4 linked regions of the Tamandua tetradactyla genome follow. The protein of the gene in region 2 purifies or fractionates together with the protein of the main gene of each other region. This does not show direct contact. Links are inferred from orthologs where the notes say so. Each region holds a gene or a part of one and is shown on either strand. Other genes may lie near its edges. The genes, in order: SAP30, ARID4B, SAP130 and SUDS3.

The links.
Region 1: the proteins of ARID4B (region 2) and SAP30 purify together in Homo sapiens (affinity purification with mass spectrometry; 5 studies listed by BioGRID and IntAct, with this or other methods). This does not show direct contact. The link is inferred for Tamandua tetradactyla from reciprocal best matches to the Homo sapiens genes ARID4B and SAP30.
Region 3: the proteins of ARID4B (region 2) and SAP130 fractionate together in Homo sapiens (co-fractionation; 4 studies listed by BioGRID, with this or other methods). This does not show direct contact. The link is inferred for Tamandua tetradactyla from reciprocal best matches to the Homo sapiens genes ARID4B and SAP130.
Region 4: the proteins of ARID4B (region 2) and SUDS3 purify together in Homo sapiens (affinity purification with western blotting; 3 studies listed by BioGRID, with this or other methods). This does not show direct contact. The link is inferred for Tamandua tetradactyla from reciprocal best matches to the Homo sapiens genes ARID4B and SUDS3.

Annotation. Positions count from the first base shown.
Region 1 is NC_135352.1:39,728,261-39,735,965, reverse strand, and holds the start of SAP30 (histone deacetylase complex subunit SAP30), read left to right. Parts: upstream 1-4,686; 5' UTR 4,687-4,994; coding exon 4,995-5,300; intron 5,301-6,455; coding exon 6,456-6,581; intron 6,582-6,940; coding exon 6,941-7,039; intron 7,040-7,705. UniProt on the Homo sapiens protein: Involved in the functional recruitment of the Sin3-histone deacetylase complex (HDAC) to a specific subset of N-CoR corepressor complexes. Capable of transcription repression by N-CoR.
Region 2 is NC_135333.1:5,592,683-5,599,547, forward strand, and holds the start of ARID4B (AT-rich interactive domain-containing protein 4B), read right to left. Parts: upstream 3,002-6,865; 5' UTR 2,826-3,001; exon of another isoform or gene 2,767-2,825; intron 2,715-2,766; exon of another isoform or gene 2,292-2,714; intron 1,411-2,291; 5' UTR 1,362-1,410; coding exon of another isoform or gene 1,356-1,361; 5' UTR 1-1,355. UniProt on the Homo sapiens protein: Acts as a transcriptional repressor. May function in the assembly and/or enzymatic activity of the Sin3A corepressor complex or in mediating interactions between the complex and other regulatory complexes.
Region 3 is NC_135329.1:84,675,048-84,682,735, forward strand, and holds the start of SAP130 (histone deacetylase complex subunit SAP130), read left to right. Parts: upstream 1-4,676; 5' UTR 4,677-4,735; coding exon 4,736-4,756; intron 4,757-5,551; coding exon 5,552-5,669; intron 5,670-7,688. UniProt on the Homo sapiens protein: Acts as a transcriptional repressor. May function in the assembly and/or enzymatic activity of the mSin3A corepressor complex or in mediating interactions between the complex and other regulatory complexes.
Region 4 is NC_135331.1:18,679,337-18,687,350, reverse strand, and holds the start of SUDS3 (sin3 histone deacetylase corepressor complex component SDS3), read right to left. Parts: upstream 3,006-8,014; 5' UTR 2,819-3,005; coding exon 2,677-2,818; intron 699-2,676; coding exon 629-698; intron 1-628.

The sequences.
Region 1 (7,705 bases), on a different chromosome or scaffold from region 2:
GACATTATGGAGCAGAGGGGTGAAACTGGTTGTTGTTCTTGGAGAGACTGGTGCTGCTGGGTTTCAGAGCTTATCTGGTATTGGAACAATCCAGAGTATCTAAGTCTCTGAAAAACGAACTTAATAAGTAAAACTTTTATAGAGCCCAGGGTATCCTTTAAAGTTTCCAGGAATATTGTTGGTTGGAGCTTGCTATACTGTGGTAGTTTGCAATATCTGGCTGAAACGTCCATAGGAGTAACCTCCAGAATGACTTCTCACAACTCAATTTGAAATCTCTTAAGTCACAGAGACTTTATTTCTTTACCTCCTTTTGGTGAACCCATCCCATGATGCCATGGCCAGGCTCATCCCCTGGGAGTCATGTTCTGTGTTGCCAGGGCCAGGCTTATCCCTGAGTGTCATGTCCCACATTGCCAGGGAGACTTACACCCCTGGAATTCATGTCTCACGTCTGGGGTGGGGGGGAGGGGCAGTGGTCAGAATTTGGCTGAGGAAGAGGGACATTTGAGCTACACAAGAGATTTTCTGCTGATGACTCTTAGACATTAATTATAAGTAGGCTCAGCTTTGCCATTACAGAAATAAGTTTCATAAGGGTAAAAAAAAACCAAGGCTTTTCTGGGGTACATAATGGTTTCAAACCAGCACAAGTAACATATAAAAAAATGAAATTACACCTCTATCTTCCACCAACACACAAAAAATCCATCATAATGCTAAATGGGAATGGCAAAACAGTGAAGCATTTAGAATATACTGTTGGAAAATATCTTCATGACTTTGAATAAGGAATTATTTAAGTCACAAAAATCATCAGCCCTATATAAAAAGGTATAATTTTTTCAACATTAAAACAAAGACTTATTTAACTGAAAGTTGTCACTATAGAGTCAAAAAGCAAGCTATAGAGTAGGAAAAGACATTTGAAATATGTAAAATTGGCAAAGGGCTCATTAAGGATATATAAAGTACTAATACAAATTGACAGAAATAGATGCACACCCAATAGATAAAATAGACAGAAAATCTGAATAGAAACTTCCTGAAGAAAACCATATGGGCTACTATGAGGCAGTTTAATATGAGGTGAATGGATTAGGCTTCAGAGTCCCTCACTTGGACAAGCCATTCAAAAGGCCTAATTTTATATTTATAATTTTACATGCTTTTTCAAATTGTACAAACTTGAGGCCCTCAAACACCTGATTCCAGTCTTAACCGTGAATTACACTTAAAGCAAGGAGTTCTTACCTGTCCTGCATATGGAAATCTGTAAAAATAAATAATGAACTATGGTTATGTAAATTTCTTTGAACAAATAGACTCACTGAAGATGTACTTTAAATCTGGCAATGTCACCAACTCCTGGAATCCTTTCTACTTGCCGGAGATTAATCATTCCCTCCTGTGTGCTACATCTATATTTCTCTAGTTTTATTGAGGCATTTAGCATGCTTTTTTGAAATGTGCTTGTTAAGCAGCCTGCCTCCCAGCAAGCTCCAAAATAGCTATGAACCTCTCTCAATTATTTTATTCCCAGGGCCTAGGAAAGATCATAGTATGCAATAAATATTAAATTGGATCTTTTTATTTTTGCTTTTTTAAAACTTATTTTTTATTGATATATATTCACATACCACGTAATCATCCAACGTGTACAATGGTTCACAATATCATCATATACCTGTGCGTTTATCATCACATTCGATTTTTTGTGTGTGAAAAATAACATATATATATATATATATATATATATATATATATATATATAAGCAATAGATTTCAAAGCACATCATAACAATTAGTTATTGAACAGATTTCAGAGTTTAGTATGGGTTACAATTCCACATTTTTAGGTTTTTACTACTAGCTGCTCCAAGACACTGGAGACACTGGAGATTAAAAGAAATATCAATGATTCAGCAATCACACTCATTTGTTAAACCTTACCTTGTCTGTGTAACTCCACCATCCCTTTGATCTTTCTCCCACTCTTTAGGGGTATTTGGGCTATGCCCATTCTAACTTGTTCATGTTGGAAGGGGCTGTTGGTAATATGGGATGGGGGATAAAACCAGTTGATGTTCTGGAGAGGCTGGCCCCTCTGCTTTTCAGGACTTTTCTGGTCCAGGGACCATCTGGAGGTTGTAGGTTTCTGGAAAGTTACCCTAGTGCACAGAACCTTTGTAGAATCTTATATTACACTCTAGGGGTTCTTTAGGATTGACAGGAATAGTTTTGGTTGGGGGTTGGCAAGCTATGATAAGTAGCAATGTCTAACTGAAGCGTGTGTAAGAGTGACCACCGGAGTAGCCTCTCAACTATTTGAAGTCTCTCAGCCACTGATACCTTATTTGCTGCACTTCTTTTCCCCTTTTTGGTCAGGATGGCGTTGTTGATCCCAAGGTGCCAGGGCCAGGCTCATCCTTAAGAGTCATCTCCTATGCTGTGAGGGAGACTTTCACCCCTGAATGTCATGTAATTGGATCTCTTTTAAAACACTTTATTTTGGGTAAAGGAGGCAAAGCCACAATTCTTCACTGAATGTTTTATATAATTGATACATAACTAAACACAGATAAGTGAATTAATTTAGTCGAATTTTGAAGGAAAGGGATAGGCGCAAGAACCAAACAGTAACAAATAAAAATACAAAGATAAATTTGAAAATTCAACATTCCACTATCATGCTTTCTTCAGATTTTTTTTTTCATAAATAAAAACTTACAAATACAGCAGAAACCAGTTTTAAGCCATTCACTTGGCCTGCCTCCCAAGAGGTGACCAACACCCTGAAGTTGGGGTGTGTCCATCCTACATATGTTCTCATTTTTACCATTTAAGAAAATATATCCATAAATAACATCCAGCATGATTGTTTTTACTCTAAGACAGCGTTCTCTAATAAAAATATGCGAGCCACAAACGTAATTTTAAATTTTCTAGCAGCCACATTAAAAAACATGTAAAATTAATTTTAATATTTCATTTAACCCAGTAAACCCAAAATATCATTTCAACATAGAATCAATATAAAAAAGGTATTTATAAGCTGTTCAACATTTTTTTGGTACTAAGTTTTGAAATACCATCTGCAACTTGTACTTAGAGCACATCTCAATTCCGATGCTAAATTTAGATTTCATAAAACTTGAGTTGAACAAAGATTCAAATAGTCAAGTTGTCACAAACATATTTAAGTTTTTTCCCAAAAGTGAATCGAGTTAAAAAATAATTATAAAACTATTGCAGTCGCAGTAAGGACATTTCAAGTGCTCAGTACCCGCACAGGGCTGGCGGCCACCCCATCGGACAGTACAGCTTAAAAAGACAACATATCGTACTTCGCATGCATCTATCTACATTTTACCTGCTCAACTTATTTAATATTTTAATTTTGTTTTTTCCTTTGCCAGATCCTAGAACTAGATGCACAGGTGGAAACGATGGCTTTGAATTTCAGCGCAGATGGCATTTTACACTTTATTTTTTAATGGTCTCTCACTAAATTTACAAGAACATTCCAAAAACCTACTAGCCAAAATACAGTATTTCTATTCGAACATTAGAACTGTTTAACAATGAGACTGTTTATGTACTGATTTTTAAAAACGATGAGCTGTTTAAGTTATTGCAAAGCTGAAGCTTTCCTATTAGGAAAAGCTTTCCTATTAGGAAGCTCCCCATCCTTCTGCTCCGCCCCGCAGAAGCACACGCGACACGCGCACAGGCACACGCGGTCACTCCGCACCGCAGGCGCACAGGCACACTCGGGCACACAGGCACACGCGGTCACTCCGCACCGTAGGCGCACAGGCACACTCGGGCTCACAGGCACACGCGGTCACTCCGCACCGCAGGCGCACAGGCACAGACGGTCACTCCCGCACCGCAGTCGCACGCGCGACCCAGCAAGCGCGGCTCCACTTCGCCCCGCTGGCGGAGCCGGGTGCCGCGCCTCGAGCGCACAGCTGGCCTGGCCCAGGTGACAGCTCCACGCCTCCCGGGAAAAGGTACTGGACTCCGCCTCTCGCCACAGCCCCGGGAGGAGACTGCGCGCCCGGGAACGGAGCGCGTTCCCTGCAGGAACAGGCAAAGGTGTGGAAACGGTGCTCGGCTGCGGCGTTTGCGAGGACACCTGCTAGGGTCAAAGGTCGGGTGGGTGCGCTCCACGGGGCGCTTCAGCGCGCGAACAGACGGGGCTGCCATCCAGTCGGGGTGTGAGCTGCGGGACTTCCACGCCGCTCGAGCTTTTGGTTTGGGTTTCCAACAAAAGCGTGGTCACACCATAAACTCTTTTTCCACAGCGACCAGAGAGGCACCTAAAGCGTTCGTTCACACACTCTACCCACTTCCTCTCCTCCTTTCTTTCTTTGTCTGAAGAGTCGGTTGCCGCTTGGTCTGAATACACCAAGTCTGCGAAATTCCAGGAGCTAACCACAACTTAACTTCTTAGAGACTACAGAAGAGCAAACACCATCATTCCCAGCCACACCATCCTGCGAGCCCCGGCCGGTACTGAAAAGAGAGGAAAAGTCAGTGGGCTTCCTAGACCGACCCCTCGCCGCGCGATGCATGCTAGGATAGGTAGTTTTCCAACCTTCCGGGCTCAGGCTGACCCTGCACAGAGAACTACAATTCCCGGGGTGCATTGCGGCAGACGGGAAGGGCGGCACGGTGTTTATCACACTACGCTTGCGCGATCCGAGGGCCGACGAGAGGCGGGGAGAGGTGGAGGCGCCGCGGTCTAACTATTCAAGAGTCTCTAGGTGACAGTGAGCGCCGTCGCCACTGCGCACCCCTCGGGCTCTGGGTCCAGACCCTGGGCACCGTCCACTGCCGCGGAGCAGCACACGTCGGCACGGTGCCGCCACCGGACTCGGGGTGCGGACGGCATCGCTGCCGCGTGGCAGGTGCCTGAGGGACCCGGCCGCGACCCCAGTGTCGCGGAGGCGCAGCGGCCAGGCGAGCGCGGATTCTGCCGGCGGGACATGAACGGCTTCACGCCTGAGGAGATGAGCCGCGGCGGGGACGCGGCCGCCGCAGTGGCCGCCGTAGTGGCCGCCGCCGCCTCGGCCGGGAGCGGAGCCGGGGCGGGCGCCGGGGCAGAGGTGTCCGGAGCGGGGGCCGTCTCGGCGGCAGGTCCCCCGGGCGCGGCCGGGCCGGGCCCCGGGCAGCTGTGCTGTCTGCGGGAGGACGGCGAGCGGTGCGGCCGGGCGGCGGGCAACGCCAGCTTCAGCAAGAGGATCCAGAAGAGCATCTCCCAGAAGAAGGTGAAGATCGAGCTGGACAAGAGCGTAAGTGCCGGCCGGACGGCCTTGCCGCCTCCGCGGGGCTCCGGGATCCGGGCAAAGACGGGGGGCAGGACCCGCCCCGGACCTGCTGCCGTGCGGGCCCGTGCTGGGGTCCCTGGTGAGACGCGCACCGCCAGGTCGCCGCAACTCGGACGCCCGCCCCCTCCGCGGCCTCCTCCCCCTTCCTCCCGGTCGTGGGACGCGGAACAAAGGGAGCCGCTCGGAGGGCGAGGAGGGGACTCCCGGGGCCCGTCCGCGGGTCTGGGTGGAGGCGCCTTTGTGCTGTCCGAGCCGGCGCGCTGGGCCCCGGACCTCGCACCCCGCGGGCGGGGCGGTGCTTCCCGGGCCCGGTCGGGTTCTCCCGGGCCAGCCCCGCCTTGTAGGGCGCGGGCTGGGAGCGGCGTCGGCCCTAGGGCGGCGCGTGGCCGTGCGGCTCCGCTGCGCCGGTCGCCCGCGGGCAGCCCTCCCGCCGGCCCCTCTCCCAGGCGCGGGCCGCAGCCGCGGCCCCTCTTCCGAGCTCGGGCTGGCCGCGGTGAATGTGATGTCAGGACGTAGCGCGCGGCCTTCCTGTTTTTGAACTTGCGTTTAGGTCGGAAATAAATTTTAAAGTGCATTTTCTTTAACGGGTCAACCTATGAATCCCTGTGTTTCATATTTGTTACTCCAACTCTCGAGATTATGTCATTAAAAGTTTTTGAAAAGTTAATTTGCGATACTTCTCACATGTTTAAGCAGTTCTTTAGTCGTGTTAGATAATTTTTTAGGTGAACTTGGATAATTTCAGATTGTTTCCATTGGCAAAACGTGTTACAGATAAAGACATTCATTTAAAACTCAGAAGAAACCTCTGAGTTTTGATGACAAAACCCAGAGGGTTGGGCTTTCTCTTTCTCCTCTCCCCTCCCTCCTTTCCCCACGGGCGCCCCCCGCCCTTCCCCCTCCATCCTGTTAACCGGATTACCAATTTTGTCGGACCTGGTATGTTTTAATAGGATGAGTGCGGGAATAAGAATGGAAACAGGCTGTATTCTTGACAATGCCCTGTTTTGACTGTTGTGTTTATTTTTAATAGTTCACCGTGACCCATGTATTTCAGTAATAGATAGACACTACATTTTGTCGTAATCATAAGCAGCCTGTAAAACTTTTCTGTTTCAGGCAAGGCATCTCTACATTTGCGATTATCATAAAAACTTAATTCAGAGTGTTCGAAACAGAAGAAAGAGAAAAGGGAGTGATGACGATGGAGGTGATTCACCTGTTCAAGATATTGATACCCCAGAGGTAGATGAACATTTTTATATGTTAAATGTGTATCCTAAATAATTCATTCTTAAACTTTTATAGAAAAGATTTGAGCACATTTTTAAAGTGGTTAAAGAATTTGAGAAATCTGAAAATGAAAGCAAAATTAAATACAGCCAGTTAACATACAGTTACACAGTGTGACTTGTTATATTTCAGTTGACAATTATTGCATCTCTATTGTCTTATAATTTTTTTTGTGCCCCAGTTTTTAATGTATTTATCCCCGAAAGTGTTTAATACATTTATAGGTGTTTTGATAATGGAATTACATTAGACGTACCAGTGATATTTCAGTAGTTTGAATGAACTAATTTATATACCTTACTTCTTTCTAGGTCGATTTATACCAATTACAAGTAAATACACTTAGGAGATACAAAAGACACTTCAAGCTACCAACCAGACCAGGACTTAACAAAGCACAGCTTGTTGAGGTATATGAATTTTTAACTATTTAGACTTTAAGTGAGCCTGTTCCCACCAATTATATGCTAATGAACTAGTTAACATAATAATTAACATAGTGATATAACAATACATCACTTTTTTGTAATGACTACTCAGTGAACTGTGTGCGATTTTCTTTGCTTCTTCTAATACTGGCTTTAAGAAATACTGAATGTTAATTTTCTGTCCTCATTCTAAAATTTGTTAGTTTTAAAGTTCCATTCACTCAGTGAACATTTATTGAGCACCTGATCAAGGCATAATAAAATAAATTAATAAGCTCTAATGTCTTTGTCAGTATTTGTTTTGGGGGGTTTCTGGTGACATATGTTTATAGAAGAACCCCATACAGTATGCACATAAGTTGCTGATTTAACTGTTTCAGAATTTGTCTTTGTTGATGTTAGTTTGCTTTGGTTGAGACATCCATGTTTTCTTTATATCTTGAAGAGGCAAAGATTAAACCCTTTTTACTTTATGCAAGTTTTTTTATACAGGGTTTTACTAACAGTTTGTCTTGATATAGGACTTTTATTGGATTTAGTCCTTTAATGAGTTTTGAAAAGTTGACTGAGTGTGTGCATTCTCGGGAAATAATAGAACCAAGAAATCTGTGCATTATATTAAGATGTTTATAGATGTATACATTTAAT
Region 2 (6,865 bases):
CAACACAACAGTAAGGAAGACAAAGGGTATTCCTAGAGCTAGAGTTTGTGACTAGAAAAGGATTCATTTCGGAAACATTACTGGTTTTTTGGTTTTGTCTTTTTTTTTTTCATTTAAATAAGAGTAAGATGGAAATTCATAGGTAAGAACTATTTCATATAAGAGTTTACAGCGCCCCAAACTCAAGAAGAAAAGCCTAGAAAAAAATGAACTAAACCCACTCTTGTATAGGAGATAAATGTTTAAGTTGCCACAGCTTTTACTTTCTTCCATAAACACAAGCAAGTATTACAAATTTTAATCCGGATGCAGTACTTTAAAAGCAGTATCGATTTTGAAGAGAAGTGGAATAAAGTTTTTTTAAAATAGTTCAAAGGCACTGACAAAAGTAGATATTTACACTTCAGCATACTATACTATCTGTTCCATTTCTTTATCAGGGAACACACTTTTCAAGCACTTCTGAATTTGTACTGGATGAAAATATAGAATATGCTAGTCTTTAAGTGCCACCAGTTGAATATAGACAATTCACATATCTAAAGCTTTTTACTTCAGAATGCATTAAAAAACTAAACAGCATTCAATTACGTATTTTCTAAATTGAAAAAAGCTGTGTGTTCTTATACCATTAAGCAAATTGGGCCTCTCAGATAACTATCCTGCATTCAGTTGCCATGCTTAAATTTAAGAGAAACCTGGCCATCAGCTTATCACACATCACAATGTAACACAGCAGCTGAAAATTTGCAGACCAAAAGATCAAAATTCAAAAACAAACCATATAACTCTAAATCCCTGGAAATTAAGAGAACTGCTATCTCTAAACTGTGTAAAGATTACCATAATTTTCTTGAAAAAACTTCCAAAGAAGCTCATCTTTGTGTTTAATCAAATAGATTTTCTGCTAAAAATTTACAATACTGTTCACACAATAAGAGATTTTCTTTCATCAATGTAACCGATAGAACCACAACACAGTTCAGCATTTAGAGTCAGATTACTTAATCTGCTCTTTCAGTTTTACCTTTCAAAGCATTTTAATTCATGCAGTTTCCTATTTTTACCGGCAAAATGAAGCGCTCTATATGGTAGGGTGATGCTCAATGAGATATTCGGACTCCAACTCAAAAAGACACAGGCCCCGAGTATCCTATCTGGCAGCAGAGTCCCTGAGCTGTAGATTTCCTACCAGTTGACCCCCATCGTTACCCAGGCAAGAGTTCGGGGACCACGGCACCAAACACACCTTTCTCTTCAAAACTCAGGGAAGCCCCACACAACGACCTCAGTCAAATACCCTACCTTTCTGAATTCTCTAACACCAGAGGTTCGTTTTCTGCAGGCAATCTTACCTTCATGATGACTCCGGGGCCACAAGCCCCCCGATAACACCAGATTCACCTGCACCTGGAGTGGAAACAAAAAAGCACCCAGTCAACCCCACAGGCACCCCCTGTTCACTGGCGGAGGCGGAAAGGAACCAGTGAAACCTCTGAACACCGATTAAAGCGCCGGAGAGGGCGTCAGCCCCCTAACGATTAAACAAGGATTCGGGGACTCCTCTGGCCTCCCTATCCCCGCAAACCCAGCCAACTACACAGCTCGGTAGCTCCCGGTCCCCATTGTCGGGACCCGACGGAGTTTCCCGTCTCCGACAATGACGCCATTTCTGTCAGAGAAGAAACTCACAACAAGCCCGGAGTCCGACACGGAATCGGTCACCCTCCCCACCGCTCTTTCTCGCCCAGCCGAGCTGGTCCTCTCCCGAAGCGCCGCGCAGCACCCCGCGTCCAAGCGGCAGCCCGGCCCAGTCTCCAGGAATCGACCCAGCAGGGGCGCAGGAGAGAGTCAGACCGGCCGGAAGGGCTGCAAGCAGGACCGTCTCCCCCCGCAGAGCCTCTGTCCAAGTCCCGTTTCGAGGCCAGAGACCCTGAGAAGTAGGAGAGAATTTACACTTGGCCCCACGCTGCAGGGACGGGAGAAAACGGAAAGGCCGTGTGGCAGCGAGGACCTTAGGCAGCGCCCCCCAATTCCTGCCTGGGCCCCCCACCGCGGCCAAGGGCCGCTAAACCGCTGAGTCTGCGACCGCTCGGTCAAGGGGCGATTCGGACTCCATTCGGAAACTGCAGTAGGGGAGAAGGTGGGCCTCCCGGGAGGACAAGGCCCCGAATTCGGGCGCCCGGTGGAGAGACCACAACAGCCATCTACCCCCTGCTCCACAGCAAAACGCAGGGACTCCCAAAAAGACTCCCTTAGGGGACTGCAAAAGACCCAGAAAATGTCCCTACCTTCCTCGGAGGCCAGATCTGACCCTGGCACGTCCAGAATCCCCTCCCCTCCTCCCCCAAAACCAGTAGGCCCGGGGGAGAGATGGGGGAAGAAGGACGGCGGGTCCAGCGGTTGCTGAAGCTGAGGCTCCGGCTCCTCCTCCTCCCGCGGCGGCGACTGGTACCTTTGTTTGGCGGCCGCTCAGGCTCCCTCGTTGGGGGGAGGGGGAACGACAAAAATCACTCCCGGACTGGAGGTCCGGGCCCCCAAACGCTCTGCCCTCCAGAGGACGGCAACGATAGACCCTCTGAGGCTCCCTCCGGGCAGAGGCCCAGGCGATGGCCGTGGCGGCGGCAAGCTTCAGCTGAGAGTCTCCCTCCGCTACGGCACCCAAGCTCCTCACTCCGGACTCGACTGACGGGCAAACATCGCTTACCCCCCCAACCCCCCCTTCCCTCCTTTCTCCCCTCCCCTAGATTTTTCCCCCTCCCCTACCTCGTTCCCGGATGGCCTCTTAGACGACCTTGGATTGGTTAGAATTCTTTGGAACCCACCTATATCCTGTTCTTATTGGCCCCTCGGATACAAACACAGACGCCATTTTCCCACTAGTTCTATGGAAACAGAAAGTTATGCCTCAAAGCTTCACGGGGAATGTAGTCCAGTCTAGGAGGCCAATGCGCAAACCGCTTGCCGTTGAGAACTACAAGATCCGCAATGCCCCGCGCCCGCCTAAGGCGGGGGGAGGGGAAAGGGGGCGGGGGCGACAAAGCAGTGGGGGGGAGGCGGCTACGACGCCTGCGCAGTGTGACCGGGATGGCGCATTTTCTTGCACCGAGTAATGCGGTGTTGCTGGCCACCGAGGAGGGCGGAGAATTCTGTGGCGAAGTAGGGGGAGGGATATATGTGGTCACCGGGAGGAGCTTTGGTCTGAACTATAAAGTGGGAAGTTGACGCTCAGTTCTACTGTTACCGGACCGGCAACGGGGAAGTCGTGATATCATCGTTGAACTGTGAGCGGCAGTGGCGGTGGCTGGGGGGACCCGGATGGTGAGGAGGGCGGGGAAGGGTGGGAGGCGGGGAACCGAGAGGAAAGAAAGAAAAGAGAGTGAGGACCCGGATGCTGAACCGGATTGTGTATTAATTTTCCATCCGCGGGTTTGCGAGGGTCGAGGGGGCGGGAGGAGGGTTAAGTGATGAAGTGGGGCGGAAAGGGGCATTTGAGCCTAGGAGGAAGCAGAAACCTCCCGGTCACTTGGGAGTCTGTGCTAGGCAGAGTAAACATTTGAATTTCCTTTATTAAACCTTTGTTGAAAATCTGCCTCAAAGTTATTTAACTACCCTCCCTGTATCTCAGGACAGTTTTCTTCAGACGCATGATCCCCCGGAGTTTGAATGGAAGGATTCACTCAGCGCTTCACATCTACGCTTCACATCACATTTGTATGTCTCTACTAAGCAATTTTGAAACCAGAACCTTCCATTAAAAAAAAAATACTTAGCATGATAGTTTCACTTTTTATGCGCAAAGTTTTCCTCTGATGTACTTCTGTACTGCGTTGGAAGGTACTTCCGCTATTACATTCATTCAACCCTTCACATATTTTTGAGCTCCTACCACGTGGGAAAAACAGTATGGTTCTTCCCCTCAGGAACCAAGTCTAGTGAGACTGAAATTAAACAAAATAGACACACGAATCGGTTAAAATGACAACTGTGGTAGGTGCTACCCTGAAGAGTTACGCGGTGGTAAGGAAAGGCTTTCCCGACAAAGTGAGGATTGACTTCAGGTTAAGGAGGAGTAGGATAGCATGTTGGAAAGCCTTGTGTCAGGATGAAGAATTGAGGTTGGAGAGGTGAGCGGGGAGCCGAATCTTACAGGGCTTGTTGACAAGTTTTATTCTTACTCTAAAAGCAGTGAAATATCGTTGAAGAATTCTCAGTCCGAAGGGTGATAGAACCAGATTTAAATTTCGCAAAGAGCAGTGAGAGTTAAGTGATAAATTACAGGAGTGAATGCAGAGAAGCCAGACAAGGAGGATATTGCGGTAATAATCCATCCACACGGAAAAGAAAATCTGTTGTTTGCATTCCTGTTTATTGACCCACTCTTGGAACAAATTTAAGGCAGTTTTTCCGTTTTGAAAGTGGAGTAGTTTCACACTATCTCATGTAGGCATTCTGTAGGTATTCACCCTGAAATAGTAGAGATCATATAACACATTAATAATGCCTCTTTACTTTGTGTAATATAAAATTTCTAGCTGTGATAAATAACTATTAATTGGCTAAGTTGCTAAGTGGGAATTCTCGTATCTCTCTGAGCAAAATGGATATTTTTTTATTCATAATTAATGTTTAAATTGAGAGATAACATCAGCCAAAGCTCTAAGAATGGAAGCAAAGTTTATCTCACATTTCATTGCAACACTTTGTACCTTTTATTGAACCAGACAAACAAAAGAGCATTCTTGAAACTTGGCTTTGATGATTTTTAAGTGTCACAAAGTTTGTGTCAAAGATACAGACATGATTTTTGCTCTCAACCTAGTTGGGAAGAGATGGCTACTAACTTTTACTAACTTTTAAATAATTAGAGACGTGTGTAAGAGATGCTTTTACTATTCTATCTTCAATTCTGTCCAATAATAATGTTTTACCTAGGCAATTATTCTATTTAAGAAAATTTGCATCTTCTTTTCTTTCTTTAATCTCTAAGAATTAGGTAACCTATATCAGAGTTGCAGTTAGCTGGTAAACAGTACATGTAATAAATTTGGATTATTTCCTGAATTTTTTCCCTTATGACATAGTTTGTACTAACTGCTAGACAAGGTACATTTGCATTCCTGTTTATTGACCCACTCTTTGAACAAATTTAAGGTAGTTTTTCCGTTTTGAAAGTGGAGTAGTTTCACACTATCTCATGTAGGCATTCTGTAGGTATTCACCCTGAAATAGTAGAGATCATATAACACATTAATAATGCCTCTTTACTTTGTGTAATATAAAATCTCTAGCAGTGATAAATAAATGACTACTAATTGGCTAAGTTGCTAAGTGGGAATTCTCATATTTCTCTGAGCAAAAGGGATATTTTTTAATTCATAATTAATGTTTAAATTGAGAGATAACATCAGCCAAAGCTCTAAGAATGGAAGCAAAGGTTATCTCACATTTCCTTGCAACACTTTGTACCTTTTATTGAACCAGACAAACAAAAGAGCATTCTTGAAACTTGGCTTTGATGATTTTTAAGTGTCGCAAAGTTTGTGTCAAAGATACGGACATGATTTTTGCTCTCGACAAAAATGTTTATCTTTGCATTCAGATTGCTGAAAGATTTCCATTGTTGGAGTGCTGTTTTTTATGATTGTTTCACAAGGGTACTCATAGAGTGGATGATAAAAAATACAGTTTTTTCAGTACCAAAAAGTAACCTGAACTTTAACCATTTTCATGCTTTAATGTCCATTTGTAATCTCCCTCCAATAAAGAGTTAAGCCAGTAGAATTTATTTTTTAATTTGTCATTATACAAACATGAATATTTGTTTATTTGGTATTAAAGAGTAAGGATATTTATTCTATAGCTGGGGATTTTAATCTGAGATACATGTAAAGGATTCAGGGCCTATATGATTCCTAAAAAATTATATGTAGCATTTTATGGGTCTGCATGTATCTAGGTGAGGGCATATTCACTTATAAGCTGGGGTTTTTTGTTTAGTTTTTGTTTAAAATTCATAGCTTTTATCAGATTCTCAAAAGCTTTCTCTCACCAATGAGATGCATCATACTACATGGAAGCACCAAAACACTTAGTTGATGATAATCCGTGTGTATTCATTCAACCAACTTGAACACATGCCTACCATCTGCCTAACAGGACATAGAAAATGTAGTTTTATTCTTTTCTTCTGTTTACATGTTACACATCTTACACTCCAGTGGAAAAAGAAGTACATGATAAAATTGATGTGACATAACCCTTTTTCCCTTAAATCAGTAGCTCACAATAAATATTAAATACCTGATTCTCACCACTTAGGGTAGACTCAGCTCTACTGAGTTCTTCATTGTGCTGGTGAAAAAAATATTAGTTTACCAATAATGAGATGTCACTATGTTTACTTCAAGATTTTCAGATTTGCTTAGTGGCATGAGTATGAATCAACAATGTTTATTTACTGTAATATATGTGAAGACTCTCATATTTCATGGATTAAGGTATTAGACAAGTTCTGCTTCCCTAAGTATATTTTATACTTTTAAATTTGATGCTAGTAAGGAGAAACTACTGGAATAGCCTAGTCTATGAGAGTGGATGAAGAGCTCATCGTGTGAGATGACTAGGCTGTGAAAGATGAGTTTTAGTACTAACATTATGAAGTTACTACAGCTAATTTAGAAATTGAAGAACACCCCTGAATCTTACAGTAAATAAAACACCACCACACCCCTTTAGTTGTGTAACTAATATGCTTTCTTAAGAAACTCCATCAGAATCAAGTAAGGTGCAATTAAAAATGAAGGTTCCTTCCTAAGTTTAGTGAATTAGAAAAAAGACCTTTGAGTGGTCAAAATATAAATTC
Region 3 (7,688 bases), on a different chromosome or scaffold from region 2:
TTTCCCTGGCTGGGTATTTGGACCAAGGGGAGCATATGAAACTAGAGAATGCACAAGGATCCAGATGTTAGCATGCCAGGTCCTGCCAGAGTGAGAACCAGCTGGGTTAAGCAGGAGAGAAGCCCATGAAACTTTTATTAACACCAGCAGACCACACACTGACATCTGATTGACTACCACAAGTCACCTGCATTGAGAATTTGTCCTTCTTGTTGGCAGACAGTCCTTCTCTAGAAAACAACTTAGCAGGTGAGGTGTCTAAATTTTTTTGGCTCAACCTTCCATATTATCTTGTGTAGACATCATTTTTAGGAATGCAAGAGAATAGTAAGCTCCTAAAACTTTGGCAGGTGGCTTTAACTCTTGAGTAAGAAGAATGTTTTCAGCCTCAATTAGTATACTAAGCTCAGTAGATGGGAGTTCTAAGTTCAGCAACATAACCTTGAGCAAAGCACCTACCTTCCTTCAAGTGTCCCTTATATAAGGGACTGGAGATAGGAATGAATATGGCAGCAGAGACTGTCCCTGGTAACTAAGGACCACTCAGATTTCATTCATGTGCTATGGATGTATTTGTGATTATACTAGGTAAACTACTGAATGCCACCTGTATATAAAGTCCCATAGATGGAAGAAAGGATGAGTAATTTCTCTCTCATCCTAGTCCAGGAGAAATAAAGGGTAGGCACAATTAGTCTTGGAATAGAGTGCCTGAGGAAATTCCACAGAGGTATTCAGAGAGTAGGGGGGTGTGGGTAGGAATTTGAAGAAAGTTTCTTGGAGAATATAAATCTTCTTTGTTTGTTTTTTGGTTAGGAATTATAGAATTGACAGAATGCTAGCAGATGATTGCAGAAGATTGAGACCTATAGAAAGTATTTCAGGCTTGAGCAAAACTCTGGAAGCCAAACTGTATGGAGAACTGATGGAAACTGTTGCTGAAAAGAGCATTCAGTGTTTGAAGAGGTATAAAGGGTTGAATTACTAAGGCCTTTGAATACTGAACTTAGGGTATTGATTGTATTTGAAAGTTATTGGAACATCATGGGAGGCACAGACAGACTCAGGTAAAGGCTTTAGAAAAAGACCTCTGTGGAGGACTATGCTGGTTTGAAACTGTTATGTACCCCAGAAAAGTCAAGTTTTTAAAAATTCTAACACGATCTTGTGGGGGAAGACTATCATTAAGCGGAGCCTTTTGATTGGGTTTTTCCATGTGACCTGCCCAACTGTGGGTGGGACCTTTTGATTAAATGGAGATATGATCCCACCCATTCAAGGTGGGTCTTAATTAGTTTTCTGGAGTCCTTAAAAGAGTTGACACAGAGAGCAGACACAGATGTTTGGAGATGCACAAGATGCCAGAAGCCCCAGGATATGCCAGACGTTGAGAGAGCTGTTTGAAACCAGAAGCTGGAAGGGACAGCAGAGGTTGCCATGTGCCTTCCCATGCAACAGAGAAACCTCAGACAGAGAAAATCAGCCTTTATTTTGAGAAGGTTTCTGTGCTGGTTTGAAAGGATTTGTGTACCCTAGAAAGGCCGTGTCTTAATCCTAATCCCATTTTATGGAGGCAGCCTTTCTTTAATCCCTATTCAGTACTGTAGGCTGGAAACTTGATTAAATTATCTCTACAGAGATGTGACTCACCCAATTGTGGGTATTAACCTTTCATTAGAGGTGACTCCACCCATCCCAGTTTACTGGAGTTGTTTAAAAGAGGAAGCATTTTGGAGAAAGAGACAGAGCCACTAGAGAACCATAAGAACCATGGGAGAGCCACGAGAACCACAAGAGCCCACGCAGCCAGAGACCTTTGGAGATGAAGAAGGAAAACACCCCAGTGGGAGTTTCATGAAACAAGAAGCCTGGAGAGAAAGCTAGCAGATGCCGCCATGTTTGCCATGTACCTTTCCAGTTGAGAGAGAGACCCTGAACTTCTTGGCCTTTCTTAAGTGATGGTAACCTCTTGTTGGTGCCTTAATTTGGACATTTTTATAGACTTGCTTTAATTGGGAAATGTTCATGGCCTTAGAACTGTAAGCTAGCAACTTAATAAATTCCTCTTTTTAAAAGCCATTTCGTTTCTGGTATATTGCATTCTGGCAGCTAGCAAACTATAACAGTATCCTCTTGTTAGGTGCCTTAATTTGGACATTCTCACAGCCTAAGAATTGTAACTTATAACTTAATAAATCCCCTTTATAAAAGCCAATTCATTTCTGGTATGTTGCATTCTGGCAGCTTTAGCAAACCCAAACAATGATAGACAGGGGTTAGGAAGAGATTAGAAAGGAGGCTGTATTACTGTGATCCAGACAAGAAATGGTGAAGCCCAAGGCTATGGAAGTGATTGGAAAGGATGCAGAAAAGTCATAATGAATACAATATAGCAACTTCGGGAGATGGGAGAGTGAGAAACAAGAAGTCTGACGAAAGACTGAAAGAGTGGTAATGCCCAGGAACCCAGGGAGCAGAGCAGATAGGTGAGGCAAATCAATACAACCTTTTAATAAGTTAAGTTTGAGGAGCTTGTCAGACAGTGATGTGGATTGGTACAGCTCCTGGGTATACCGGGGTACAACTCAGAGAGAGGTCACCGTGTAGGTAAACATTGGAATCACTCACAAATGTGACATTTGAAACTGTGCGAGTTTATTGCCCCATTTATGAAGATAGTAAAGTATCAAAAAAGAGTTGGGGCCTTAGAAAATACCATATTTATTTCAAGAGAAGGTGTGATGAAGCTTGAGCAGAACCAGGAGAGAGTGTGATTATGGAGGCCAGTGGAAGATCATTTTAAGGAGGAATTCCTGGTCATTAACTAAACAACATGAGAACTAAGCAAGGACCACCAAATTTGAAATTGAATACGTCACTGGCCACTTTTAGGGAGCAGTTTGAGAAGGATGGCAGGACCAGAATCCACAAGGGGTAGAGAGAGGAAGCTAAAATATGTAATGCGAGTTACTTTTGGAAGATGTCTGGGAATGAAGGGAAGGGAGAAAGTAGCTTGAGGGAGGAGGGCTGGTATTTGAGACTCACTCTTGTTACTCTGAGCTACTCTCCTCCCAGCAAGCAGCTGTCTTAGACAGCTGTGCAATGATAGGAAGAAGGGATCTGAGCCGGAATTATATCTTAACCCGTCACAGCGCTCCCAGGCCTAATTACTACATAGGGAGGAACGATGGGGACGCAGACCCTCATTTTGCCTCAGCAGCTTTGGCTGCAGGTTTCACGAATGTATAAACTGCACCTATCTGCGCCCGACAACAGAAACAGAATGAACCCATGTCCTTTCCGCGGCTTTACGGCCGCGACAAAGAGCACCAGGACGCGGCGCCCCGGTTCGTAGCCAGGGCCCCCTCTCCGAGTCTGCCTGCTGCGCTGAGGTGCTGGGGCCCCCACGTTGCTTGGGCTTCGCGGGCCAGGGCCTCGGGGACGAGTCAAGTGCCACCACGGCGGAACGCTGACCCGCCACACCACGACCTCCATTGCCCTTTTCGCGCGCCACGGCCCCTTAACGTCTCAGGAAAATGGAACACAGTGCCTCCGACAGTGTCGAAATGGGGGTGACCCGCCGTGTCCCCGGTCGGTGAAGAAAAACAGTAGACGGTGCCCAGACCTCTGAAGGGCCCACAGCTCCAGCCCAGGTCACCAGCAGGCCCCGCCCCGGAGTTTCCCATCGCCCTCGCGGCCCGCCCTCCCGGCTCCATGGACTACATTTCCCAGAAGTCGCCGAGGCCTCGGGAGGCGGGCCCGTCTGCTCTCCCGCTCACTTGGAGCGGCAATTGGTCTTCCCGGGGGAGGGCGGGGCCGGCTGCGGCCAATCGGCGGGAGGCTCGTTACGGCGGCGGAAGCAGCGGCGCTGGGCTGAGGGGTGGGGGGCAGAGTGCTAGTGCCCCGGCGGCGGCGGTGGCGGGTCCGGAGCCCGAGGACGGCGACCCCAGAGGCGGACGGCGCACGGGGGAGAGCTCGAGGCGGCGCGGCGACCACCCGGCGCAGCGCCCAGGTCATGGCGGGACGGGCGCCGGGGCTGGGAGGGGAGGTGGCGAGGGGGCGGGGCGCCGCGCCGGGCAGCAGCGTCCGTCCCGCCGCGCGTCCCCGGGGAAGGGCAGCGGGGCTTGGCGCCCCCAGCCGGGACTCGGGCTCCTTCGCGACCTGGGCACGGCGGTTGTGCCGGCCGCAGGGGCTGGAGTCCCGCTGCGGAGAGGGAAGAGGCGACTGGGAGGGCCGGGCTGGCCGGGCGTGGGGGCGTGGCGGGCCAGGGCCTGGGCGGGGAGCTGAGGGCCGGGGACGCGGGCGGGCGGCCGGGGTAGTTTGGCTCCCGGAGCAGTTTAAAGTGACTCTCCACATCCGGGCCCTGCGCCCGCCGCTTTCAGACCGGGGCCGAGGCGGGGCCTGCCAGCTCCCCGCCCCCTCCGCCGGGAGTGCCCGGCTGCTACGACCATTGGCTCGGTCACCAGGGGCGGGGGCGCCCCGGCCAGGCTCGTACCTGATTGGTCGGTCGTCGGCGGGAGGGAGGGGCGGGCCCGAAGTGCGACGGCCGCAGCGGATTGGCGCTGGCCCCGAGTGACGTGACCGGCGTTGGGCCAATGAGTGGCGGGGGAGGCGGGGGAGCGGGCCGGTGGCCCAGAGGCTGCCAAGCCTTGAGGGCTAGGCGGCCGGCGGGGCTGGACAGCGGCGCGCTTGCCCGGCGTCCCATCCTCGCCCCTCGCCCAGTGCCTCTAGCGACATGGGCCCCCCACGACCCCCGGTGAATGGCGAAATGGGGACGGGTGGCGGGAGACGGCTGCAGGTACCAGGGTGCTGGTTGTCCTGTTCCCCCCAGACGGAGCCCCTGAGACCCCCGGCGGCTGAAACCTCTGTCTCTCTCTGTCGTGGGCTTTGGGGCGGGGAAGCGCCTGCGAACTAATGGAGGAGATCCGGAGAGCTGGGCTCCTGTGGGAAAGTGGGCACGAAAATGACTGAAGCGCTCGGGTCCCTCAGGCTCCTGGGGGGGAGGGGGGTCTGTGAAACCAGGAGAAAAAGAGGAAATCTGTAAAGGCCTTTACAAAAAAAGCATTTGAGAATTTTTTTCTGGTCAGGTCTTGACATACGGTTTCTGATCCTCTCTTAGGATCCGGCATCTCCGTTCTGAATTCTCCTATATGACAGATTGAGTATGGTTCTGTTCACCTTGGTGTCAGGTTTAAACCAATCACAGACAGGCTCCATTCCCCCTAAAACTTTACACGGACACGTGTGCATCATGTCAGTAGCTGTAATGTGGCTGTTGTACAGGATTCCCTGTTCTTTTTTTTTAGTCTACAGTCCACAGGTATTTAGAGGGTCATGGTATCCCCCAGCACTGTAGAAATGATTTTATTAATTGAGCCTGAATACATAGCAGATACAGAATTTAGGTTATTTTTGCCCTGTGTATCCATCATAAGTGATTTTCTTTTTTTTTAGAAAACTTGTTGCATTTGCATTTCTGAGGGAAGATAATATTTAATATTGTTTCTAATCTCAGAATCTAGCCATAATCATATGACTGTATTTACTGCAGGTGGAAATGAGTTCTCAGCAGTTTCCTCGTTTGGGAACCCCTTCCACTGGGCTGAGCCAAACTCCTTCACAGATTTCAAGCAGTGGTTCTGCAGGATTGATAAATCCAACTGCTGCAGGTAAGATTATAATTTTTACACCATATAAGAGTGTGTTGCTCATTTTCTGATTTAAAAATTAGCAAATTTCCCTAGAATTTTAGTAAACACCAAGTAATTTTAATTTGAAAACAGGATATTTTACAAGTCTTTTTGTTTTTTTGTTTTAACCACTTCATTGACATGCATCATTGTATATTGTGCAACTTATAGTAAAGCTTGCCTACAGGAATATATTTTTTAAATGTGTTAATGTGCTCCTGTCCAAGGCTCAGATGTATGGTGATAGCATCATTGGGGAACAGAGGTATGTAAAGTAAAGGATAGGTCTTGCCTTTTAGGAATTTACTACCTGGAAAAGAGGGTAAGAAGTCTTTATGCAAGTTTTGGCTAGGCGCCCCTTAAATGCTGTGGATCCTTGCCTTTCAGTAGAGGATGATTTTGCCTACTAGGGAATGTTTGTCGATCTCTGCAAACATTTTGGTTGTCCCAGTGAAGATGCTACTGGCATCAGTGGGTAGAAGCCAGAGATGCCACTGTTTATCCTGCAGTGCACAGTCACGCTACATAACAAAGAAACACCTGGTCCAACGTCGCAGTAGTGCTGTGGCTACAGAGGCCTGCAGAGCCCTGCTTAGAGGAGAAGTGACCTGGGAGTCAGAAGAGGAAAGTTCCTTACCTTTCAGTGTTGTTCTTGATTCTCTGTCAAATGTTCTCTTTCTCATCTTGCTTTGTATCAAATCAAAAGGTGGCATTGCAAAGTGAAGTGGCTTTGCAAACTGTGTTCCTTATATGGTAGAAGGTGGCGCCATCTACTCATTGCTTGAAGAGCTCAGACATCATCTTTAATTGCTTTGTCTGTGCCTTTTACCTACAAGCTGTGACACCTTTCTCATGTCCCAGTCTCATTTCCTGCTACTTTCCCCTTCTTCCAACCCTTTACCTTTTTTCAGTTTACTTTTTTCAGTTCATTCTCATGCTTGTTAGACTTACAGATACTTTAAACTGCTTTATGCCTCCTGCTTTATATTATCTATTGATTTGATGAACGAATGATGAAACGTTCCCAGTGTTCATGACCTCAGGCCTCTGTACGTTTCATTCCTTTCACTGCCATCTTCCTGTTCACACACACTTCTATGGCTAATTCCTATTCTTCAGGTTTCATCTCAGATGTCGCTTTCTGTGTTGATGGCATCTTTGCCAACTTCATCGTCCACAGTTCAGTCTTAGACCTCCTCTGAGACTGAAGACTACTTGAGGGCTGGGGTTGTGTCTGTCTCATGCTCCTTATGACAAAATAGTGTTCAAGGTAGTGGTCATAAGTTCTTGTTGAGGGACTTGAGGTTCTTTTTATTCCCTAAGAAATATTTTTGACAATATTTTATCTTTGGGATAAATTGATTGAAGGGTTATTTAAAGTATAGTATAGCTAAAGAAAATATTTTGAACACTTATCCTTTGCAAGGAATTACACAGCTCATTTTAGAAAGTGTTAATTAGCAATAATTTCTCTCAAACCTTGTTGGTTAAATGAAAAGAAAGTCATAAGTTTACTTCATAAATTTACTTTTGAAGAGTATATATGTATATGGAAGTTTATTTCTTCAATTACACTAAAAAAGTGTATAAAATTTTTTTCTGAGTAAGGTACAAATTCAATATACAATTATTTCTAAATACCAGCAGTGAACAGTGAAAGTTTTTAAATGTCATTTTCAATAATAGGAAAAAAGCATGACATGTAATCATAACACAAAATTGTGAATGTAATTAATATTGCTGAATTTTCCCCATGAAAGTGGTTAAAATGAGAAGTTTTTTATATGTTACCACAATTTTTTTTTAATCGTGAAATACGTAAGGATAAATTTAACAAAGCATGTGCAAAACCTGTAGTCTGAAAACTAAACATCGCTTAGAGGAATTAAAGAAGACCTACAAAATGAAAAGATATTTCTTGTTCCTGGATTGGAAGACTCAGTAGTTTTAAGTTATCAGTTCTTCCGAAAGGGAGCTATAGAGTCAAAGAAATCCTAA
Region 4 (8,014 bases), on a different chromosome or scaffold from region 2:
TAAAAAGTCAGTAAATTTTAAGCATAAGGAAGCTATTTTTTTTCAAGTTCTTTAAAACATAATAGAATTTTAGTCTATCTGGGCACGTTCAGTTGGGGCTCTGTCTGAAGGTGATGAAAAGGTTTGGGTGGACGTGTGTTCAAGTGGAAAGAGCATCGGAGGAGTCAGGAGTCCCTAGTTTCCAGTCCCAGTTACCTGAGCTCTCAAAGCATCCAGAACCTTGCCTAACAGGTAGTCAGTGCTCAGTGAGTTCATGACCATCTTAGAACCTGGCTGCTGGATGACGCGAGTTTCCAAACACTGGTTTTCACATCTTAAATAAAAGAGGAAGTAGTAAAAGGTACTCTCCTGTATTATGGGATTACTTCCCTGTGATCATTTGCCTCTAGGTTCTTTCTAGTCTACCCATCATGGATTTTTGATATAGGAAGAAAAAAAGAACAAGTTTCATCTAAATACAGACTGATTAAATACAACCAATTTAAAAGAAGAAAATGCACACATACACACAGTCTTTGGAAGCATTATAGTCAAAACCACACATACAAGGCCACTATATTTTTCCTGCTAATTCTGTATTCCAGAAAAATAATATAAAAACAATCATGAAAGAGCTTGTGTTACTCACTGTTCCTTCATTTCTACATAGTCATCTTCATCATGCTTTGCGAGGTCAGTCTCACTAGCATCCTCTGTGTCTGAGTAAAATTAGGGAGGAAAAGTCAGTTAAAATCATATTCATATACTCGGCATCGCGTCACAGCAAACGCATGCAATAAACTTCTGTAAAATGAATTTCTTCTCAAAACTGGCCAGTGTGACACCATCAGTGGAAAACATTAAGTACAGTTATTTCAGAAAAGAAAATGGCATTGCCAAATTATACACAGCCAGATTAATGCAAAGAGCTTGCCCTTATTTCAAGTGCAACCAGAAAACAGGGGTATCAGACTAGGCACTCATGGTCAAGGCTGTGACTTCTGCAGAAACAAAAAAGCTGGCAGTTCAGGAAAAGGAGACATGGGTGGAAGTCTGGAAAGTACAGGTAGTCAAGCCCTGCTCACTACTCTAAATTGAACCCTTAGCAAATTTCATATCAGATAGGAGATGAAACAGGAGAAAAAGAAACAAGAAATACAACTCTAATAACAAATATTTTCAAAGTTACAACTAATGGAGAAGAGGAGGGAGGCAAGATGATCAAACAGAAACTGTTTCAAAACACTTTATACACTATCCTTAAATAAGCAAAGCGCTGGAGTGTCTACACAATTTCAAGAACCCTACTGCAGGAAGTAAATCTATTTTGGCTTCACAGCACCCCCTCGTGGGCATTAAAAACAATGTAAGTGATTCATATTCAAAGGGTTGAAAGATGAGTTTTAACCCAGCAGGCCCCAATTAAATCCAGTGTGGCATGTCCTCAAAGTAGCATTTCTTGCGAGAATTTTAAAGTAGATCATCTCCAAAGATTCAAAGTTATCAATGCAATTAGTTGGCTCAACTTTGTCTGCATATATAGTTGCCTTCTGAGAAATGCTGTTGCAGACCCAATTTTCCACAAACCCTTCTCCCCTCCTTCAGCTAACAGAGCTTCACTGAGTTCCTGTATGTGCCAGCCAATCAAGTGCTCATTATTTCGAGGACTGAAATGAATAAGACAGGCTCCTTATTCCAGACAGCCAATAAAATGAACTGGAATACTCCACTCATATATTGGTTCCTCTCTATCTCCTCTTTCTTCTCCCGTGTCCTATGCTTCTTAACCTTTCTCTCCCTCTAGCCAGCTCCTTCCTCAATTCCTCTAAAACAGTACTCCTCACACTTACCAAAATGTAAAGCCCAGCCTGAAACGCAATGCTCTGAGAAGCAGTAAGACATAATATAAAGGGAATGGAAATGAAAACACACCTGGGCACCATTAAGCAAATCTCTACCTCTTCCTGTGCCTGTTTCTTCAGTGGTGAAAAAGACACTTACTGAATACCGGAAATTGGGCCAAGTACTTCATACACATTTTTTCATTTAATTCTCTCAACTACCCTAAGAAAAAGGTACTACCTTTCCACCCCATAAAGTTGGGGAAATGAGGCTCAGAAGCTTAAGGAAGTTTTCTAAGATGACAAAGTTGGGTTAAGTTACAGACACAAATTTAAACCTAGATCTGGCTGATTCCACTAAGCCTTCTTTAAACCACTCTGCATTCCAAATCTTGTACTGTGCTGTCCAAAGTGGGACTGACTTAATCATATTCTGGTGGGGTCGGGGGTGAGGGCAAACAGAGCTTTGCTCTGACTTTCTCCAGAACTAAAAGGACAGGGATTCACAGCACTCAAAGGATGGTTTTCCTATTCCATCCAACGAAGACCAGAGGCTCAATCCGGACGGTTGGGTTGTGGGGGAGGGAGCAGAATCTTAAAGGGACCTCCAGCTCTATGAATATCTCCTTAAGTCCCTTCTCCCCATAACAGTAGGGTACAACGTACACAGCCAGGGCTTCCCTCCTTCCCCAGAGGGACTAGTGATAACTTCCCAGGACCCCGCTTCTCCCAGATGCCCCTCCAACGGGCCCCACGCTCTAGAAGTCGCCCCGCCCCGTCCCACTCCCAGCCAGTCCAACCCCTTCCCCAGCAGCTCCACCCCGGCCCAGGGCTGCCAGCGGTCAAAAAGACGCACCTTCATCCGAGTCACGACCCCGGAAACTGCGTTCGTCGTCCTCCGCACTCTCCAGCTCTTCATCCTCCTCTGGACAGTACTCAGGCGCCGGCGGCGCTCCAGCCGGGGCCGGGGCCGGAACCAACAGCCCCGCGGCACTCATATCACCTCCGACCGCAGCAGAGCGTGCCACCGGGAGATCGAGGCCACCCACGCTGGGGACTTGACTTCCTCCTGGCAGAGCCCGACGGAGCCGCCACCCCGAAGAGCGGGAGCCCCGGCGACCCCTTCCTTGTTTCCGCCGAGCTCCGCCCCACGCGCCCGCACTGGGCAACGGGGTCCTCGCGCCGGCGGCGACTTCCGGGTCGCGAGCTGCCCGAGGACCGCCTGATTCCTCCATCCTTGAGGGAGAGGAAAGGCCGCCAGGTTCCGCGACGTTCCGTTCGCCTAAACCTCAGTCCCTTCATTGCCGTCTAAAAATAGTCGACGGAATGGTGGAAAGGGGCGGAGACATGAGCTCTAGCGTTAGGCAAATCTACGGGCAGGTCTAGCTGAGGCCAGGACCCCGAAGCTTAGGGGCGACACCGGAAACAGCCGCCAGGCGGCGCCTGGAGCCAAAAGTAGAGCGAGAAGTTAGCGACCTGAGAGCGGCGGGTATGAGGGGTTTGAGGCAGGTGAGGTGGTCTTTTCTTTAATTTAAGCAGGTGAACCGTATGAACGATATGAACCGTCCCCTTTATAAGTTGAGAAAATGTAGCTATCCAGAGTTTGAGTGAACATCCAGAAAAGAAAAAGAGCCCTGACTCCTCCCCTAATTGGAGTTTATTAAAAACTAAAAGATAAATTTTCTGTTGCTCGGTCCTGGGATCAGCAAAACGGTATTTTTCTCAGTCCGTCCGAGTCTGTTGGTATAAGTTTGCTGAATAAAATGTTATCCCGATTTTACAGATGAGAAAAGAGATGTCACTTGCCTAAAAAAAAAGTAGTAGCATCCAGCTACTTCCAGATCCAAGCCTTCCTTCAACAGTAAATCTGTCTCATAATTCCTCGAGTATTAATTTTTAAAAGATTATTTTTCCCAGTTCAGTAATTTGGTAACCAACTCTCATCTGAGCAAGTGGAGTTCCTTGCATACAGACCCAAATACCTAGATAAATTAATTTGTGATTTCTACTCAGTAAAAGGGGGCACAGTGTTTTAAGTTTTGGTTAAGGTACAAGTTTTGGGTATACATGTTGTCAAGAGCAGTGCGGTTTAATTGTGGCAGCACGATAAGGAAAAGGGCCAGAAATGTTCAATGGTTTGTCCAAAGTAATATAAATATTCCCACTCTATTTTGCATCCGTGTCTTCATAGAAAAAGTAATTAAAAAATAGTAAAGTTGAACACAGATGTACGAGCCAGAGTGGAATCTACGATTCTGATTCTTAGATCCCTTGTAATCAGATTTATCTCTGAATGGACTCAAAGTCTCTTAAAATTACAAAACTTTATTCTCATAAAGAAAAAAAATCTTTATTTCCTACCTTGTTTTGAAATCTTGGCTCTATTTTTAAGGGATTTTTTCCTCCCAACGAAACTCATGTATTTACAGAATGGAATGCTGTGATGTCTTTCCAAGAGGTTTTTTGGTCTCAGGGATCTTCTGAAGTTCTTTTTAAATAAGAGTTATTCTCAGAATGCACTGTAGGTCTACCATCTATATTTAAACTAGGATTTCAGATTCCTGTCTGTTGTACAAAGGCTGAAGCTATTTTCTTTGCTTTGTTAGATTACATCCAAATTATTTGTAGTTATCTATTGAACTTGAGTCCCTATTAGTACCAATAATTATAAACCAAAAAAAGCACCAACAACATTTTAGAAATTAGAGTCCATTGATATAATGCATTAAAAAAAAACTGATTTTATCACTAATTGTTCTCCTTTCTAGACACTTGAGTTTTTGTCTTGCTTATATTTTATTTCTATTTCCATCTAACTGATTGCAGATAACATCCGCTGATGTCATGCATTTCTTTCATTTAATGAATAGATACAACTGAACACTTGAGTGGTGAAAACTTATCCTCTTGTCTTCTGTCCATATTTCCTAATGCAGAATTGTTAGAATAAGCTTTTAAGTAAAAGATGCCTTTTATTGAAAGGGGACCTAGAGAACAACAAAAAAATTCACTTGTGGCTTTGATCTTACTCACTCTTTATAGTTACTTAATACAAAGGTTATGGACAATTTCTCTAGGTGTGTAAAAAGCAATTTCCCTCAAAACTAAGTTCTACCACCTTGAAATCTCTTCCCAAAATAGTGCTCAGCCACTCTGCTCCTATTACTTCCAACTTAAATGTAGTCCTGCAAACCCCAATTCCAGAATGTTTGTGCCTTCAAACCTCTGCATACTCTAACTCCCAAACTTAAACTTTAAAGAGGAGCACTGTAATTGGAGTGGGGTATGATTTTAAAACAGTAAGGAAAAAGTATGTATACGGTTTAGAACACCTACTTAAATTGTATAGCAGGAGTTTAAAAAAAACTTAGAGTTCTGAGGGCTAAGGCCTGTATACATTTGACAACACTTATGATTAAAATGTGTTTCTGAAATGAAATAATTTCTTCATAAAATGCCAAACTGCCAAAGTCCTTAAGTTTATTTTGGGGGTTAGGAATAAACATAACAGTTTTCTAGTATTGATTTCCTCAGCATACCCAGTTTCACAAAAATACAAGGAGTAACTCTGAGTAACATGTACTTTCACCCCTGGAAGACATTACCTTTCAGCTTCAATCAAGATAGGTCTTTGCTTATCCCAGATTGCACTTGGGGTCAAAGCTTGTTAAAATTTGGTGATTAGTTTACACGGAACAAAACGGAATGGCTCTGTGAATGTTGAATAGGCTTGCTTGAAGCTAACGGTTTCCCCAGGAGTTCCTGTTTTTTCAGTCATAATGATGATACCAGAAGTTCAAAATCCAGCAACTGAGTATCTCTATAAAGTTTTGTTCTTATACCTATCAAAATGAGCCCCGCCAGGGTTGAATGCTGTTTTGCAAAGCATGTATCTAGTATAAATATAGGGATTTTCCCCAGCAATATTAAATTGATGTTAGCTGAACACAATGCCAAGAAGAGCATTGTTAGAGATGTACAAAGGACTTAAATTCAGGAAATGGACAAGTCCTGGGAGAATTTAAATCCAGGAAATTTACAAGTCCTGTGCAAGGTCTTGGAGAATGGGGACCTCCCCAAAGGCTCTTATATCCTTCCAGGGTCCCAGAGTGCCTTGGCCTCTAGGCGTTTCCCAGAAAAGGTTAAGGCGCAGGGAGAAGTGCCATGAACTTTGACCCACGGGTTGGCGCAAACAGGGATGACCGCACCCCTGGAGGGCCCGTGGATAACTGAAGTTGCAAGGTCTTCCGCGTCTGAGGAAACCTCGCCCAGCCCCACCCGCATAGTGAATTCCGCCAATCCTAAGGCGCCATCGACCGCTCGGTTTCCTAGGCATCTCCAATCAAGTACCTATAAACGGCCTCAGCCCTGTGCCCCTCGATCAGGGAAGGTCAGTAGAGAGCCTATCGGAGCCGGGTGGGGGCGTGGTCTAGGGGTGGGGGCGGTCGGTCGGTGAGGGTGGGGCGGAGCGCGCTCGGCGCAGTCGGGTGCGATTGGCCACCCCTGGCAGGAGCCGCACCTCGGACAGCAGCAGCGGCGGTCGCGGGAGGGTCCGTGGGGTGCCCGGAGGCGGCGGGGTCCCGCGTTCGAGAGTGGGACGCAACGCAGGGACCGCGGGCGGAGGTTCTGGGCGGCTGGACTCGGCACTCAGCAGCGGACTCGGGAGTCTTCCAGGGGACAACCCGTAGAAGAGCGACTCGGGAACAAGTGTGAGAGAGGAAGCGGCGGCGGCGACGCCGGGCCCGGGGGCGGTGACAGCAGGTCTGAGGTGAGAGCACCGGGCGCGGGGCGGTGACAGCGTGAGCCGAGGCGAGGGGACCCTGCGCGGAGTGAGGTCGGCGACGACCGGGCGAGGGGAGGTTCGGGAGCGGATTTGACAGTTCGGACTGAAGAGAGGAGACCCCGAGAGGGGCCGGGACAGAGGAACTGAAAAGAGGGGAGCCCGAGTGGCGCCAGGTCAGAGGGTTGCGGGAAGGGGACCCCGAGAGGGGCCAGGACAGAGGGTCCGCGGGGAGAAGACCCCGAGTGGGGCCAGGACGGAGGGTCTGCGGGGAGGGGACCCCGAAAAAGGGAGACAGAGGGTCTAAAGAGAAGGGATCCCGAGAGTGTCCGAGGGGAGGGGACCTCGCGAGTGCGAGTTGAGGCAAGGAACCCTGAGAGGGACGCTGGTTCCAGGTCGGCGGGATCCCGCGCTCTGCCAGCCTTGCGTCTGAGTCGCGAGGGAGCCTGAGAAGGATCGCGCCCACGGAGTTGTTCAAACCACCCCCAAGCCCACCGCTGCGGTTGGGGTCCTGGGTCCGGGTCGCTGTGACTGCGAGTTGGGGCCGACAGCTGGGGCAGAGTCGTGGAGACGGTGATGCTCCCAGGGTCTGAAATCCACGGGACGGGACCTTTCTGAGCGTCGTGTGCGCGACTGGGATAGCTTGAGTCGGGGTGACTCTGGAATAGGGATTATGTAATGAAACATCTCCTAAGTAGAACGCACCGGCCGGAGGGTCTGGTAGAAACACCAACATCTTGCAAAGGTCAAGACAGAGGCACCCCTGACCTTTTCTCACTAATCTCCCTTGGTGTGGATGGATGCCTGGAAAGTGAGGGGCTACCTGACCTTGATAGCTTAATCTGAATGTGAAAAGTTGGAGGGAGCTTCTGTAACCTACCACAAAAAGTTGAAGGGGAAAGGGATCCTTTTGGAAACCCATGTTTTGGATTAATTCTAATATTTCTTTTGAGAGAGGCAGATATTTTCCTGACCTGTTTTTTTTTTTTTTTTTTTTCATTTTAGCTGAATAAGAAGCTAAGAAATTTGTTCTGATTTGGCAGCACCTCAGTATCAATGTTTAAGATGCAAGTTTAAAGAAACAGTAAACTATAAATAGGGAATTTTGATTGCTTAACTTTGATGTGTGGAAGATAGTTGAAAGATCGAACTAAATTTTTTAAAGAGGCATTGGGGAAACTAAAATAACAGCACTTTCCAATAAGTTTTCTTATCCTAAAAGCTACCAGAACTGAGCTTTAGGCATAATTCCAGGACAAGCTATGGAGAGAGATAAGCCTATTTAAACCTGACACTGTGTGTCCTGGTGGAAGGCGGGTGTGTGTCTGTCTATTAAAATGTTGAAACAAATTGTGGGAAGCAATAGAGGGTGAGACTCCAGGGGACAGCCTCCTCCTTTGACTGATGAGAAAAT